Linked DNA regions of Arabidopsis thaliana. The protein of the gene in region 1 interacts with the protein of each later gene in a pairwise test. Each region holds a gene or a part of one and is shown in the gene's direction. Other genes may lie near its edges.

Region 1 (7,244 bases):
GATGATGATTCATGGTGGAATCAGAACGGAACTGATAAAGATGATGAAGGAAGAGAAGAAGATTTCTCATTCGCAAGTGTAAACGCAGATAATTCACCGATAACCGCAGATGAAGCATTCGAAGACGGTCAGATCCGACCGGTTTATCCTCTGTTTAACCGGAATATTTTCTTCGATGATCCAGAGGAAAAAACTTTACGTTCACCTCTCAAGAAACTCTTCGTTGAATCCACAACCACAGAAGAAGAAGAAGAAGAGTCAGATACGGTGGGTCCATATTGTTCATGGACAAATCGTACGGTGGAGCAAGCATCACCAGAGACTTGTCGGAAAAGTAACTCAACAGGGTTCTCAAAGCTATGGAGATTTAGAGATCTTGTTTTGAGAAGTAACAGTGATGGAAAAGATGCGTTTGTGTTTTTAAGCAACGGCTCTTCATCTACATCGTCGACGTCGTCTACGGCGGCGAGATTGAGTGGTGTGGTGAAGTCGTCGGAGAAAGGGAAAGAGAAAACGAAGACGGATAAGAAGAAGGATAAGATGAGAACGAAATCGGCACATGAGAAATTGTATATGAGAAACAGAGCAATGAGAGAAGAAGGGAAACGAAGATCGTATCTTCCGTATAAACATGTTGGGTTCTTCACTAATGTTAATGGTTTAACCAGAAATGTTCATCCCTATTGATTAAACCGATCTGTCGTACCAAAATCTCTACCGACAAATCTTTGCCTTTTGTATATATCTAACCTTTTTTTTGGTTTCTGTGTATTATAAAACCTTCTTTTTGTAAGTAAAAGTGAAACTTTACTTATTAACTTTTCGTTTGTATCATTTGATTAGTTTTTTTTCTTCTTTGATGTAAAGTATTTTTTGATTTTGAAAGTAGTAGAGAAAAGATTCATCGATCTTTTTTGGAATTTAAGTTTGTCAATAATATATTTTGGTATATCAAAATTTGTCCGCACGTTAATTTTTTTATTTTTTTTATTTTGAAAGTAGGAATTAATTTTTTACTGGAATAAAGTAAAACTTGTTCTTTTAGGCAATATATTATCTCTATCTAATTGATTAACGATGGCCGCAGATATGTAAACACACATTTTTAGAGATGGCTATAAATGATTTCCTGAGGCATTTATTTTTGATAGCTTAGTTTTTACAACTTCTGTTTACCGACACTATTAAGTTAGGTATCAAATTATTTAAACATAGTAAAAGTACAAACCTGTATTGGTAGTGACAAGTGACAACACATTACACATTATACATCACACCAAACTCAATATGCCTCCTAATACAAGAGTACATACAGCTATAGCTTTAAAAGTGCTTATATTATATGTAAGAGGGCCAGATAAATATTTGGGCCAAAGTAAGAATGATAGGCCTATAATTCGGGTCCAGGTGACTAACACCATTCAGAAATAGTCATGCCCCATTCATCATCGAAAGGTATTTGAAGTCAAGTGAGAGTTTATGCTGATGAATGGGGCATGAATTGAAACATCAAGCCCAAGAAAAAGTACTGGTTGTGAAAATTAGCAATTTTGGTTGTTTTAAATCTAATAGCCCATTACATGAAAATTTGTAGTGTCGCTAAAGTTATCTTTGGTTTGGGTTGTTTTAAATCTAATAGTCCATTACATGAATGAGAGGTGCAACTTGCAAGCCCTATTAACGGCTAGTCATGAAATTACAACATTACCATAAATTTATGCTATCCTGATCTGAATTTATATAGTCTAATTTTCGAAGCGAAACAGATTTCAGGTCTTGGATAATAATTTCATCACTACTTCGTTCATACATTAGTTTAGATCCAAAAGATATACAAAATTTATATAATTAGTAGAACTGTTGACAAATAATTATTAAAAGTAATAAATGGTCTGTTATAGAAATTTGATTTTAACTTTTGTTATATTAGTGAATTTACTTTAAATAGTAGAACAAGTTATAATAAATATGAAAGCATATAAAAAGAATAAAATCTCATGAGATTATCTTCTAGCATAGTTTTAGTGTTTTCTCATAATGTCAATAAATATTTACAGGTCTTATTATGATTTTTACTAAATAAACAGCAGAAACAAATAAAAAGAAAAAACATGGAAGAAGAAGAAGAAGAAGAAGTCCAGCTTCACTCACCTTTCGCTTTCTCTATCCCATAACAGAAACCCCCACATTGCTCGAACGGTCGTCATAATTCCTTGAAACCTCGAAAATCCAAAAACCCATATCCAATCTTCTTCCCATATAAATTAAGATTTTTATTTATTTATTTGTTTACTTATTTCAATTCCCAAAATCCTCTGCCTCATCATCTTCAAACTGTTACCACGTCCATAGGGTTGTCGAAGAGCTAGGAAGAGCCTTACCAAGAGCTTCTTCTTCCCCTAACATTTAGGTATTTCATTCGTAATTTATCTTCTTTTTAATTTAATTATTGTCGATTACCAAAACCCTTTTTTATACTAAAAAACTGAATCCATTTTTCCACACTAAAAGGAGAACACAAAAACTTCATTTCAAGTTCATGTTTGAAAAACTAAGAAGTGTATGGTTTGTTTGTTGACAATTAATGAGCATTTTTTTCCCAAAATACGTTAGAACTTAATATGATAGAATAAAACTTGAATTATTCATGGCAATGAGTATAGTCATATACAATAATGGTTGATGGAAATGAACCTTACGGTCCAATGAAAAGCCAGCTTGCGTTACTTGAGCATTTTTAAGCCCCAAAAAAGTTTGAAAATATGTATAAAGGAATATTTTATATATGGAACTAAAGAGTCAGAGAACCATTCCGGATTTAGATCATCCATCTATTTTAATTTGTTGTGATTCAGCCATCGCATTATTAGTCTTCAGAATATAATAAAATTATAATTCAGTTATGAATTTAATAAATTGAATGCCGACGTGAGTAGTTAATAATGTAGTCGATTGTAAGTAACAATGAGAAAACTCCTATACTTTATTTTTAGATGTATTTGTAATAATAAGATTACGGGTTTGGACTGGACAGGTTGGTAGGAGAAGCAAAGGAAGAGATCATTTATAATGGCTCCTGCATTCGGAAAATGTTTCATGTTCTGCTGCGCTAAAACCTCCCCGGTAAGTCCCAGCAACAACTCAAATTTGCTTATGAGAAAAATACTCAAGCTATTTTTGAAACTTCGAGAGGATTATTAGATTATAGTATGTATATAAAGTGACGAAATGTATATAGAGAAAGTAATAATTAAGTAAACTGGTGACGCGTAGATGCCAACTGGCAAGTCCGTTAAAAACATGACCGTGTCAGCCTGTAAGGCTTGCCTTGGTTGACTTATCCTGCTTTGTCATTGGCCACCGGCCTATCGGAAAAGACGCAGACCAATTTGCCTTCACCAAAATAAAAATTACTACTTACTACCATATGCTTTTTGCCCTGCGTTTACTTTTCAAGTCGAGATCATTTATTTGGTCAAATGAGGTAGAAAAAAACTATTCTAGTCAATGTAGACATTCGAATGAAATTTGCATTTATAAAAAAAATGTACTTGGAAATTCAAATGGGTTTATAATTTCATTTTAATCAGTACCGAGACATACAGCCACATGCTTAATTATTCCTCCTCAATCAAAACCATTTCACCCCAAAATTTTAAAATAGTTTTATCAAATCACCATCCCACAAAAAGATTTTTTAATATAATATAAACCTTCCCATTTTTGTGGAGTTTCTTTTTTTTTTCCCTTGTAAAAAAGAAAATGTAAGAGTAGAACCAAATGGCATAATAGAGCTCTAGGCCTATAAATACCAATATCCATCTCTACTACTACTGCATTAACTGATTTCACATTCTTCGATAAGGATTTTACTCTCCAGAGAAAGAAAAAAAAAACCTCCTCTGCTTTTGTGATCCTTTAAGGTTTCTCTCATCAGATCCAATTTTCATGTTTCAACATCGTCAAATTTCACCGATTAAAATTACTTGTTGTTGTTTGTATTCATTAGGAAAAAGACGAAATGGCAACGGAATCGTACGAAGCCGCCATTAAAGGACTCAATGATCTTCTCAGGTACACACTCTCTCTGACTCATAGTACCATCATTAGAAAGTGTCGGCATATTCCTCTTTTTTTTCCTCCCACAATTTCTCCATAATCAACGCCAAAATCAAAGCGTTGAATCGGAAAAAAAAATCAGAGTTTTTTGTTTTCTTTTGATTTGCGCGTTTGTGTTTTCTTCATGACCAAACATTTTGGAATCCGTACACGTACGACAGATCCTGACCGTTGGATCAACTTACCTTGGGAAAAAAGTTTCACATTTCCGCGTTTTTTTTACAGTACGAAAGCGGATCTCGGAAACGTCGCCGCCGCGAAGATCAAAGCGTTGACGGCGGAGCTAAAGGAGCTTGACTCAAGCAATTCAGACGCAATTGAACGAATCAAGACCGGTTTTACTCAATTCAAAACCGAGAAATATTTGTAAGTATTTAAATTACTAAACTTTTTAACGTTATTTAAGGAAAAGAATATAATTAAATTCGTTTTTGTTCTGTAAAGAAGAATTTTCATGACGGTGGAGTGGTCCATTAATGATAAACCTACCTTTATTTTTTCTTATTCACTTAGCATTACTGTTTTTATTCATGTGATAGTGCTAAAAAAAGGTGATTAAAAGCTAATTAAATTGTATTAAGAAGGTATATTCCAATTAGTATATGCAATAACAGAAACATAAAAAGGTGGTTTTTTAAAAAGAAATTCTGAATTTTTTTTAAGGTTGATTCATGGATTTTGATGAAATCTCTCTGTTCATAATTTTTTTCAGGAAGAATAGTACTTTGTTCAATCATCTTGCCAAGACTCAGACCCCAAAGGTTTTAGCTTTTCTCAAATCTCTCTCTTTTTCTCTGTTCATTTACTTATTTTCTTCTTTGACTAATACCTAAAAAATAGGTTAATACGAACAAAAGAGTGTGACAAGCTTTTTAATAATCCAACGATGATGTTTGACTTTATGAATTAGCAAAAACAATTATTGGAACCAAAGATGGTCCACTTTCTTATTATAGAGTTAATGAATTTGAAAATGATGTTGATTTTTTTTTTTTGATTATGGCAGTTTCTGGTGTTTGCTTGCTCTGATTCTCGAGTTTGTCCATCTCACATCTTGAATTTCCAACCTGGTGAGGCTTTTGTTGTCAGAAACATAGCCAATATGGTTCCACCTTTTGACCAGGTTCATTACCAAGCCATTTCACTCTTGTTCTTGTCTGAGATCAAATAACTAACACCAAAGTGGTTTTGATAATTTATCAGAAGAGACACTCTGGAGTTGGCGCCGCCGTTGAATACGCAGTTGTACATCTCAAGGTACATGAACAAAATATACCTATTTTTAAGGATAGACACTTAGATTGAATTAATAAATAAGCAAACTTTGTTAGTATTCTTATAAGTTATCACTTATCAGTAATCATCCAAAGTTTGGCTCTTTTCATAGTGCTCATTATTTTAAGTCGTTGTTATGCATTTTTGCTTGCACATGGTTCTTACTAAAAGTTGATGTCTAGTCACTCTGTTATTTGGACCCATTTCATCCACCTAAACCCTGTTCTCCTTTTCCTTTTAGCCACTAGGATTATCTTTTTTGAATCATTTTTGGATAATGTTCGATATTAGAAATGGGTCTTAATGCATCAACTTGCAACTACTTTTTTATTCAGAGTCAACAGTTCACTTTTTTTAATAGTATCAATTTATTTGTAGGTGGAGAACATTTTGGTGATAGGCCATAGCTGCTGTGGTGGTATTAAGGGACTCATGTCCATTGAAGATGATGCTGCCCCAACTCAAAGGTAATTACTAACTCATTAATCTTGATTTAGCCTGAGTTGTGAATCAAGATTGTTCGATATATGACTTTCTTGTGGGATAAGTTTGAGTCTTTGAGATGATAAGATTAATCGATCTCTAACACGATGGAAATCCTCTAAACAATGGCAGTGACTTCATTGAAAATTGGGTGAAGATAGGCGCATCAGCGAGGAACAAGATCAAGGAGGAACATAAAGACTTGAGCTACGATGATCAATGCAACAAGTGTGAGAAGGTAATAATAACTATCTTTGCTCTGTTTACTTATGTTCTTGAGAAATGGCTTATCAATAAATGTGTTATCTTGTGCAGGAAGCTGTGAACGTATCGCTTGGAAACTTGCTTTCGTACCCATTCGTGAGAGCTGAGGTGGTGAAGAACACACTTGCAATAAGAGGAGGTCACTACAATTTCGTCAAAGGAACGTTTGATCTCTGGGAGCTCGATTTCAAGACCACTCCTGCTTTTGCCTTCTCTTAAGAAAGAAAGCTACCGGAACATATAAAACTCTTTTGAGATAAAAAAAGACACTTTGACTCATCTTTCTTCATTCTCTCATGTTGATGATTCCTCTCCAACTTCTTTGATTTCTTTTTGTTAATTCAAAACTTCAACTTTGCTGCTTCTATTTCAAAAGCTCAAACAATAAAGCTGTAACCAACGTTTGAAACTTCTATATTTGTCTAATTGATGTTTGAACGAAGATTTGAACTTTCCTTCTTTCTCTCTTTTTCCAGATTATATGTGTATGTTAATTGTTAAAACTTCTTGGCATTGAAGCCATTGATCATTACAATTTTATTACATAAAAACTTCTATACGGTATCATTGTCCCATCTATTACCTAGAACGAAATTGTAGTGACTATTCGTTTTAGATTAGCTTCTTTTTTTTGTTGTTGCAAAAAAAATTATTAACTTTTTGCTATTTAAAAGTAGTTGATTTAGAATTTTCTTTATATAAATGTATTTATCAAAATAAGTAAAGGAACTCAAAAGAGTAACTATTGTAAATAGAATATTTCTAGAAAAGTAATAGTAAGATGATATGATTCCTAAACGGGAATTTGCAGAGGCCCATTTACCAAGTTAAATACGAAAAGGCCCACCTAAATTGGCCCAATTGTGATTGCCGACTTATTGACTTCTCTATATATTAGGGATTTGCCGAACGATGATGATTTCTATTTCCATTTAATCTAACTGCAAGAGAATCACTAAACTTTTGCGTTCCAAATTGAAGAAGCTACGGTAAGCGTTTCATTAACCAAACACCTCTCTGAAGTTGTCTATTTCATTCATTAATCGTAGTTTCTTCACCAGTTGTTTTGATATGCCATTGTCTTGACTCTTAAGTTTCATCGT
Region 2 (5,460 bases), on another chromosome or scaffold:
GAAATGATTCAAAAAGTTGTATGTCTCCGAAATATAGGTATCGCTAAGGATTCTTTCTTCACCTAGGGACAAGACTCTCACCCTAGACAAACCAGGGGAGTCTAAAGCTTGGTGGATTTGAAGCTCCAGACACCATCCATAGCTATTTTTGGTTTGTCTACATCAATGCTTGTAGGAATAATTTTTTTTTCCGGAGAAGCTGATCACCGTTGTGATAGAGAGACTTGCCAATCATATGTAAGCATATGGTCTCATCAATATCATAAATTAATAAATTTATAAATTTATCAGAATATATTATGTATATGTAAGAAAAGTTAGTGAAATATGATTCTAGTATTGTTTGTTTTTCTTAAATAATATTAAGTTTTGATCAAATATTCATTTTTAATATGTTTACTGTATAAAAAAAAGTTGTGCTTTTTTTAAAAAAAGAGAATATGTTCTTTTACTTGTATTTGTATCTAAAAAGATGTTGGTTATGACAAATAAAACTTCTTTTCATATAGGAAAGTTAAAAAAAATTACAAATTAACCAAATCTCTCTATAAATTAATAATTCAACAAATTAATATCTCTATAAATTAATAAAATTTCACGTTCCCGACATTATTAATTTATAGAAGTTTTACTGTATTCCTTTGTGAATTTCCTTTTCATAATTTAAAACTAAGTTGGCAACCTTTTCATATCATAAATAAGTAAATTATTTCAAACTATTTTTCTGGATTTTTAATCTGTTCATTGGAGTCATATCAAGTCTTGCTTCGTATGATTTGTTCTTCCTACTCATAAGAGCTTTGTAGACATACTTAGATTTACTAGACTATGAATTGTGCAAATTTTGTAATGATTAATTTTAATCATCTTATTACTTTCTCGATTCAAGATGAATTACGGACAAAGATGAATGTCTGAACCTTTAGCGTTCAATCTTTTATTTCTTATCTTTTCTTAGTGATGCATATAATGCTAAAAGAAAAAGATGTTAGCAAAGGAGAGACTTTTGGATTATGTATGATAATGGAAAAAATGTCACATGGATTCATCACAGTGAAAATGATGAAGATGAAAGTATGACTCAAAAGGATTGAGTAGTTAAAAATTTGAGAATGACCAGGGAGAAAGGAAGAAAATCAAGGAGGAAAATATTTTAGTAAATTTAGATGATTACATTTGAGTTTTTTTTTTTTTGTCACAAGTGTGTTTTATTGATATTATAGAGCCAAAAGTAACAGGCCAATAATTCACAAAGACTAAAATAAACAAGCCCAAAGAAAAAAAAAAAAAACAGCCCAAAAGCCCAAATGAATAAACCCTAAACTGAAGGAAGAGAACAAATGATTGTTGTGCGCCGCATAGAAAACACGTGTCAGTGGGAAACATTTTGAAGGACACATAGGAACTGGAAGAGAAGGGAGTCGCCGTCAGAAGCTTCAATTCCGGCCGAAACACCGGAAAACTTGTTTAATTGGCATAGCTCACTCGTCGCTCAAAAGATTAATGGCGAAATTTCAGTTGTAGCTTGGACGAGAATTTGACTCCACGAAGTGCAAATCTTCTTCTTCTTCTTTTTCTTTTTCTTCCTCTTCTTCTTCAATCAACATCTTTTTAACTCTTAGGGTTCATCAATCTTTGAACTACAAGCAGAAGATAAAAAAAAAACAAATCAAATCTAAATCCGGTCAAAAAACCGGAGAAAAAACCGGCTAAAGACGCCGGAGAAAAGCCCGACGAAACAAGAAAGAGGGTATCTTGCTCTCGGGAGATAAGCCAGCCACCACCGCTAAAAGTAGCCGGTCGATGCCGGAAGCTGAGCCAGCCAACGCTTCTAAGGAAGCCAGCGATGCCGGAGTAGAAGCCGACCAAACACTGCTGATAAAGCCAGTCATTGCTGGCCAAAAAAGCTGAAACTCTCTGAAAGATGAGGAGAGAGAAGAGAGAGAAAACCCTATCAACGTGAAAATAATTACATTTGAGTTTATATACTCAAAACTTGGAAGTAAAGGTAAATTAAAATATGATTGTTAGAAACAATTACACCAATAATAAAACGACACGTGTACACTACGTAGACGTTAGATAACCACAGCAAAAGGATATGTATTCTCGAGGCGGGAGAGAGAAAGAGAAGAGAGTGAGAGAGATCGAAGAACATTTACACACATCAATGGCGTCTCTGCAACTCTGCGACGGTTATCTTCTCTTCAAGCCCTCTGTTTCTCCTCGATTCCTCTCTCAACGCATTTCTCATCGCCTAATCCCTAAAGCCTCATCTTCTCCTCCTCCATCTCCATCACCATCATCGTCCTCTTCATCCTTATCTTTCAGTCGGCGGGAGCTTCTGTACCAATCGGCAGCTGTATCACTCTCGCTTTCTTCCATTGTTGGACCAGCGAGAGCTGATGAACAGTTATCCGAATGGGAAAGAGTGTTTCTCCCAATCGATCCCGGTGTTGTTCTTCTCGACATTGCTTTCGTCCCCGACGAACCTAGCCGAGGTAATTACTCCTTCTTCTTCTTCTTTAATTTTCCGTTCTTAAGTTCGAAATTGTTTTACTTACTGATTCTTGCTTGAAATGTCAATTAGGGTTTTTACTTGGAACGAGACAGACTTTGTTAGAGACTAAAGATGGTGGAAGCACTTGGAATCCACGTTCGATTCCTTCAGCTGAAGAAGAAGATTTCAATTATAGATTCAATTCGATTAGCTTTAAAGGCAAAGAAGGATGGATTATTGGCAAACCTGCGATTTTATTGTACACTGCTGATGCTGGAGAGAATTGGGATAGGATTCCTCTAAGTTCTCAGCTTCCTGGAGATATGGTATTATATCTTGTTTCTTCTGGTGTTTTCAGAGATTTCTATTGTTGTTGTTTTTGTTTATGAGAATGTGTTTGTTACAAATGTTGTTGTAGGTGTTTATAAAAGCGACAGAAGATAAGAGTGCAGAGATGGTTACTGATGAAGGTGCTATTTATGTTACTTCAAACAGGGGATATAACTGGAAAGCTGCTATTCAGGAAACTGTTTCAGCTACCTTGAACAGGTTCGTTACCCTCTCTTTGGTTTATACTAGGGAATTGGCATTGTCTTTTCCATCCAGATTCAATAGAGATCAAAGAGTAGACCTTAATTCAGTATTTCCTATGGTCTTGCAGAACAGTATCCAGTGGAATCAGTGGTGCTAGTTACTACACGGGAACTTTCAGTGCTGTTAATCGTTCACCTGATGGAAGATATGTCGCTGTTTCGAGCCGTGGTAACTTCTTTCTGACATGGGAGCCTGGGCAGGTGAGACTCAATTAAGGCTATGAAGAAATACATTTATACTTGTGGTTTGCTTTTGAACTCTTAGTCCTTTTTATGACATAGCTAGGTGAAGTTTTAGCACTTGCTTAGGCTCAGTCTTATTGCTGATTTTGATTTTGATTAAAAAGTACTTTGTCTAAGTAAACGGTATTATGTGTCTTACAAGGGACTACCAATCCCTCTCTTTGTTCTTGTGTGTGGTTTGCGTGCTCTTTAGACTGTCATTCACCATAGTATTGGTATATTGCAGCCTTACTGGCAACCACACAATAGAGCTGTTGCTAGAAGAATTCAGAACATGGGATGGAGAGCTGATGGTGGTCTTTGGCTTCTTGTTCGTGGTGGAGGACTTTATCTTAGCAAAGGTACTGGGGTAAGTACAGCAGCAAGACTCTCCTCACTTCTTGCAGTTTTATTCTCTGAAAATTTCCTTTTCTTCTCGTTTTGGTATTTACTTGCGAGTTTCTGGGTTCTTTTGCCACTTAGAGGATGAAACCAAATCTAGCCATGAACTAAGAAACACAATTTTCTTTTGTTATCTGCTATTCCCTGGACTAATAACAAGGAAAATAAAATAAAAAAACTGTTTCCTTGTGATTTAAATTCTCTTCCAATGTTTCAACTTCCAACTGCATCTGATTTTGATCTCCTCTGTTATAATTGCTCAGATTACAGAGGAGTTTGAAGAAGTTCCAGTACAAAGCCGTGGCTTTGGCATTCTAGATGTTGGATATCGCTCAGAGGTAAATGAGTTTCCACGATGATCACTCAAAACTCTGAATCTGCTCCGATCTTTACACCATTTTTTTTTTTTTTTGGGTATTGCAGGAAGAAGCATGGGCAGCAGGAGGCAGTGGCATACTACTGAGAACAAGAAATGGAGGCAAATCATGGAACCGTGACAAAGCTGCTGATAATATCGCAGCTAACCTATACGCAGTCAAGTAAGTCTCTAACTCAAACATCAAAACACACTCCTTCAATACCATCATTGGGAACCATCATTGTTCCCACCCATCTCATCTCATCTCAAATCTCAAATACTTTAGCATAAACGAACAAACTAATCAGTTCTCAATTCCTGTCTGTTTTTTGTTGCAGATTTGTGGATGACAAGAAAGGATTTGTGCTTGGCAACGATGGAGTCTTGCTCCGATATGTTGGCTGAAGAATTTAAAAATAAAAAAGAGGTTAAATTGAAATGGTTATGTTTCAATCCTTCTCTGTAAAGCCTTTAACTGCGTTTTAATACTACATTACACTATTGTATACATTCCCTTCACAAAATATATATAATTTTGTGTTTCTTCTGAAAAGCTTTGTTTCTCACTGTTAGTTGGAGTTGGATTTGATCTCATCTATGTATGTTTATAACCTATTTTCAGCCAAGAAATTTCATTGTGTAGGCAACCAAGAAAGATGACAAGAAATCTTCGCCAGAGATTTTATTACTCACTTTATTGTCAATTCATAAGAGAAACATATATTGATAAATCCGTTTGTGGATTAGACCGCTTTTTATTTACTATTTAAAAATTGTCAATTACTACATATAAATAAATTTGGTATGCGGTGGGTTGTTGTCCGTGGAACGGTGACTGAACCGAACAATGCGGTGCGGTTCAAATAGTAACGAATGTTTTTGCATATATATGTTTTTGTTATTATTTGAACTGCACTGCACTTTATCCGCAGTTGAACCTAATTGAACCTAATGAAACTTAAACTGGTTTAGTTTGCTAATATTATTTTTATTTTATTTTTGAATAACTTTTTTTTCTTTTCTTTTTTGTCATCTGATCATTTTTCTTTTTTGCTTTCGTTATGGATAAGCTGTAACGCGGTTTTTGTTTTGAACATTAATAATAATTAATTCTATTCTTCGAAAAAAGAAAAATATATAATAGTGTGTCGTTTTCCGGTGGCGACGAGAGGGAGAACCGGAGAAGAGATCTCTCGTTCGTTTTTTTCCCGGTAAATCCGGCGAGAAAAAGTTCACATTGAATCTACGAGAAAATTTCCTTCCATTTCACTCCACGAGTTTTCACCTCTCTTGTTCAATCTCTCAACGTCTCTCCCTCGTTTCTCGTTTTCGCTTTTTCCCCTTTTCCTCTTCTATTTTACCGGAATCCGAGAATTTTTGATCAG
Region 3 (3,523 bases), on another chromosome or scaffold:
ACTTAAGTATGGTCATAGAGATTCTTCTGAATGCAAGAGGTTGGAGTGTTTTCTTGACAAAAATCTGCCATTACATAGAGCTCCGGTTATAGAAAGCTTCCGTCTTTACTTAATTGATTCAAAATGCACACCTGAGAATATCAAGATGTGGGTTGTTATAGCAGTTTCTCACTGCCTGCGTGAGCTGGAGGTTATTTATTCTTCATATCCGGAGAAGCCAAACATATTGCCGAGTAACTTGTATACCTGCAAATCGCTTGTGATCTTGGAACTCTGTGGCGAGATTCGCTTGGATGTTCCTCGAATGGCATTTCTTCCCTCTCTGAAAACTTTGCAACTTCACAGCGTGAGATACCTCAATGAAGACTCTCTTCATCGGCTTCTATCTAACTGCCCTGTTCTTGAAGATCTATTGGTGGATTTACTTTTGTCAGACAGCATGGAAAAGCTAACTGTTGTTGTCCCATCTTTGCAGATTTTATCACTCTTTATACCTCATTCTTATGAGATCGATGGGATTGTGATAGAAACTCCTTCTTTAAAGTATTTTAAACTTATAGACCATAACAGTAAGAGTCACTACTGTTTGGTTAAGAATATGCCTAACCTGATAGAGGCAGATATAGATGTTGAATTACATAGCATCAAGAGTCTTATTGGATCAATCACATCTGTCAAGCGTCTTTCAATATGTTCACAGGTATCATTTTCTCAACTCATTGTTTAGATATGCATTTGCTGATAATTTTTAATATTGCGCAGGCTATGTATGATGGAGGTTTTGTCTTCAACCAGCTTAAACATCTGAAGCTATGTAGATGCAAAGGGCATTCGTCGGATTTACTTGTCCGACTGCTCAAAGATTCTTCTAACTTACAAGCACTAGACCTTTCCGAAATGGATGTAAGTTTGTTCGTCAAACTCTTTTTTCTTGTCTGATGCACATTATGGTTTTAGTGTAATTCTTCTTCTGTTTGATCTGTAATTCTTCTTCTGTTTGATCTGTAATTCTTCTTCTGTTTGATCTCAGTATCATGAGAATCATGATATCCTTTACTGGCATCAACCAAGTACTGTCCCTGAATGTATGTTGTTGAGTCTCCAAACTCTCAACTTGTCGGCATATAGAGGAACACCAGAAGAGAGAGATCTTGCAGTGTATTTCTTGAAGAACGCTGTTCACTTGAAGACCACAACAATCAAGTCATGTGTTTTTGATGATGAAAGATTTGACATGTTAAAGGAGTTGGCACTTTCTTCTAGAGCTTCAACAACATGCCAACTCGTGTTTGATTGAGAGTATTTGATCACCAAAACAAAGCTTGTTCTTCAGTTCTTCCATGTCCCCGGGCTCGTATGGTTTGTCTTCAACCTGAAAATTTGTTTTCGTCAACCATCTTTTTCTATGTTTTCCGTTTTTTTTGTATGTGATAAAAACTTTATTCTATATGTTGTCCACCAAAAAACAAATTATGTTGATTGGAGAAGTTATATGATAAGTTTTAATCGTTTATGGGGTTTTATAGGTGTGTAGAGATATATACATACCTTGTGAATGAAGAAAAGAGAACTAGCTCTGTGTTGAAAAACTGAAAAGCATTTGATGCCCTGATAATTTCTCTAAAATTATTAAACCGAAATACTAATACGATCCAAGTGGAACCAACCAATTTCTTAATATCTAAAATACCGGAATCTAAAGAGTCGAACCAAACCGAACCGGAATGTCCTCTAATTTTTATTTTTAAACCCATGATTATGACATGCACTACCGGCTTAGTGGTGATGTTTGGCAACATGGTTTATTCAATTCTCACTCGCACTGAGTGTCTGTGGCTCATAAATCATTTACCTTTTCAATTTCTCAATTCCAAATCTAAAAGTCGTCAAAAATGGCTCTCCGATCTGTCAAAACGCCGACCTTGATAACTTCGGTCGCCGTCGTCTCCTCCTCCGTTACCAACAAGCCTCACTCTATCAGATTCTCTCTTAAACCAACGTCGGCACTCGTCGTCCATAACCATCAGCTATCGTTCTACGGTTCGAATCTCAAGCTGAAACCAACTAAATTCCGATGCTCAGCGTCGGCTCTTACGCCGCAACTTAAAGACACGCTGGAGAAACTGGTGAATTCGGAGAAAGTGGTTCTGTTTATGAAAGGAACGAGAGACTTCCCGATGTGTGGATTCTCCAACACTGTGGTTCAGATTTTGAAGAATCTGAATGTTCCTTTCGAAGATGTGAATATTCTGGAGAATGAGATGTTGAGGCAAGGACTTAAAGAGTATTCGAATTGGCCGACGTTTCCTCAGCTTTATATCGGCGGTGAGTTTTTCGGTGGTTGTGATATTACTCTTGAGGCGTTTAAGACTGGAGAATTGCAGGAAGAGGTGGAGAAAGCTATGTGCTCTTGATCCTGATTTCAATACTTGGTTTTTGTGATGATGGAATTTGATCTTATCTATCTATCTATCACCTGGGAAAAAAAATGTGATTTTGATGTTTCAGAGTTTGTGGTTGTAACATTAAGAGACATATATTGTATGATGGATTTAGGTATACAACAGTTGGAGTTGCTTGGAATTTGAGTTTCCTTTGTCATATGTGTTGGCCTGCAAATTTGTGTTGTTTGTTGAAAGGTTTATGTGTGAAGTAGTGCTAGTAGAATCTAAGTTTGTTTCTGACTAAGAGACATGAAGTCATGGGTTGTTATGCTCATTCATATCCTGATTGAGATACAATTTAAAGAAACTTAGTTCCAAAGATTCTGAACATTCACCGGTACAGTGTGTCTGCAAATGGTATTCTGTCTCACTTCAATGTCTAAACACGTTGTCTCAAAATGTATCGTTTGTTAGATACTCCTTTCAAGACATATGATTTAGCCTCGCATGTGTTCGTTGATCCAAGTTTTACCGGTTTGATAAGTCTCCAGTCTTAGCAATAAATCCAGACCGGATTCATGACCAATCGCAGATTTACCGGTCCGGGTCAAGTTTTAAAACATTAGTAGAAATGTGTTTCACCGAACAGGAAGACTTATCTGATAGCATCTCGTTGCAGTGGATAAATGGCAAAATAGTAATATACGTAGATTCTGCTTTTATCTGAACCACATAGTGCAGATGGATATCGAACAGAAGAACATGATATCGAGAAGACACGTGGCCCAATGAAAAAGCCACGCAGGCTCTGTATAGCCAATTGCAATCTGGTTTTAGATTCTCATCTCACAAATCTTACTTATACGATCAGTCTCCCACATTCACACTTCCACCAAACACCTCTCGTCCACATCTTTCTCCTTTGGTGGCAAACACAACGACAGATAGAGAGAAACGATGGCGTCGAACTCGCTTATGAGCTGTGGCATAGCCGCCGTGTACCCTTCGCTTCTCTCTTCTTCCAAGTCTAAATTCGTATCCGCCGGAGTTCCACTCCCAAACGCCGGGAATGTTGGTCGTATCAGAATGGCTGCTCACTGGATGCCTGGCGAGCCACGACCAGCTTACCTTGACGGTTC

Evidence for each region.
Region 2: the proteins of BCA4 (region 1) and HCF136 interact in a two-hybrid assay, tested with the Arabidopsis thaliana proteins (one large-scale study listed by BioGRID).
Region 3: the proteins of BCA4 (region 1) and CXIP1 interact in a two-hybrid assay, tested with the Arabidopsis thaliana proteins (one large-scale study listed by BioGRID).

Annotation. Positions count from the first base shown.
Region 1 is NC_003070.9:26,533,283-26,540,526, reverse strand, and holds BCA4 (beta carbonic anhydrase 4), read left to right. Parts: upstream 1-2,089; 5' UTR 2,090-2,410; intron 2,411-3,034; 5' UTR 3,035-3,069; coding exon 3,070-3,123; exon of another isoform or gene 3,124-4,009; coding exon 4,010-4,074; intron 4,075-4,344; coding exon 4,345-4,485; intron 4,486-4,831; coding exon 4,832-4,880; intron 4,881-5,125; coding exon 5,126-5,242; intron 5,243-5,322; coding exon 5,323-5,376; intron 5,377-5,772; coding exon 5,773-5,861; intron 5,862-6,009; coding exon 6,010-6,115; intron 6,116-6,192; coding exon 6,193-6,360; 3' UTR 6,361-6,703; downstream 6,704-7,244. Other genes in the region: AT1G70420 (DNA ligase-like protein, putative (DUF1645)), read left to right, coding at 1-687. UniProt on the Arabidopsis thaliana protein: Reversible hydration of carbon dioxide. Together with BCA1, involved in the CO(2) signaling pathway which controls gas-exchange between plants and the atmosphere by modulating stomatal development and movements. Promotes water use efficiency.
Region 2 is NC_003076.8:7,775,984-7,781,443, forward strand, and holds HCF136 (photosystem II stability/assembly factor, chloroplast (HCF136)), read left to right. Parts: upstream 1-2,033; 5' UTR 2,034-2,101; coding exon 2,102-2,501; intron 2,502-2,590; coding exon 2,591-2,826; intron 2,827-2,918; coding exon 2,919-3,049; intron 3,050-3,161; coding exon 3,162-3,294; intron 3,295-3,562; coding exon 3,563-3,685; intron 3,686-3,980; coding exon 3,981-4,055; intron 4,056-4,140; coding exon 4,141-4,256; intron 4,257-4,413; coding exon 4,414-4,480; 3' UTR 4,481-4,924; downstream 4,925-5,460. UniProt on the Arabidopsis thaliana protein: Essential for photosystem II (PSII) biogenesis; required for assembly of an early intermediate in PSII assembly that includes D2 (psbD) and cytochrome b559. Has been suggested to be required for chlorophyll a binding.
Region 3 is NC_003074.8:20,340,741-20,344,263, reverse strand, and holds CXIP1 (CAX interacting protein 1), read left to right. Parts: upstream 1-1,799; 5' UTR 1,800-1,892; coding exon 1,893-2,414; 3' UTR 2,415-2,907; downstream 2,908-3,523. Other genes in the region: AT3G54910 (RNI-like superfamily protein), read left to right, coding at 1-700, 763-903, 1,031-1,297; LHCA1 (chlorophyll a-b binding protein 6), read left to right, coding at 3,342-3,523. UniProt on the Arabidopsis thaliana protein: May only reduce GSH-thiol disulfides, but not protein disulfides. Probably involved in the regulation of the redox state of the BOLA proteins. May act as Fe-S cluster donors to Fe-S cluster-requiring proteins.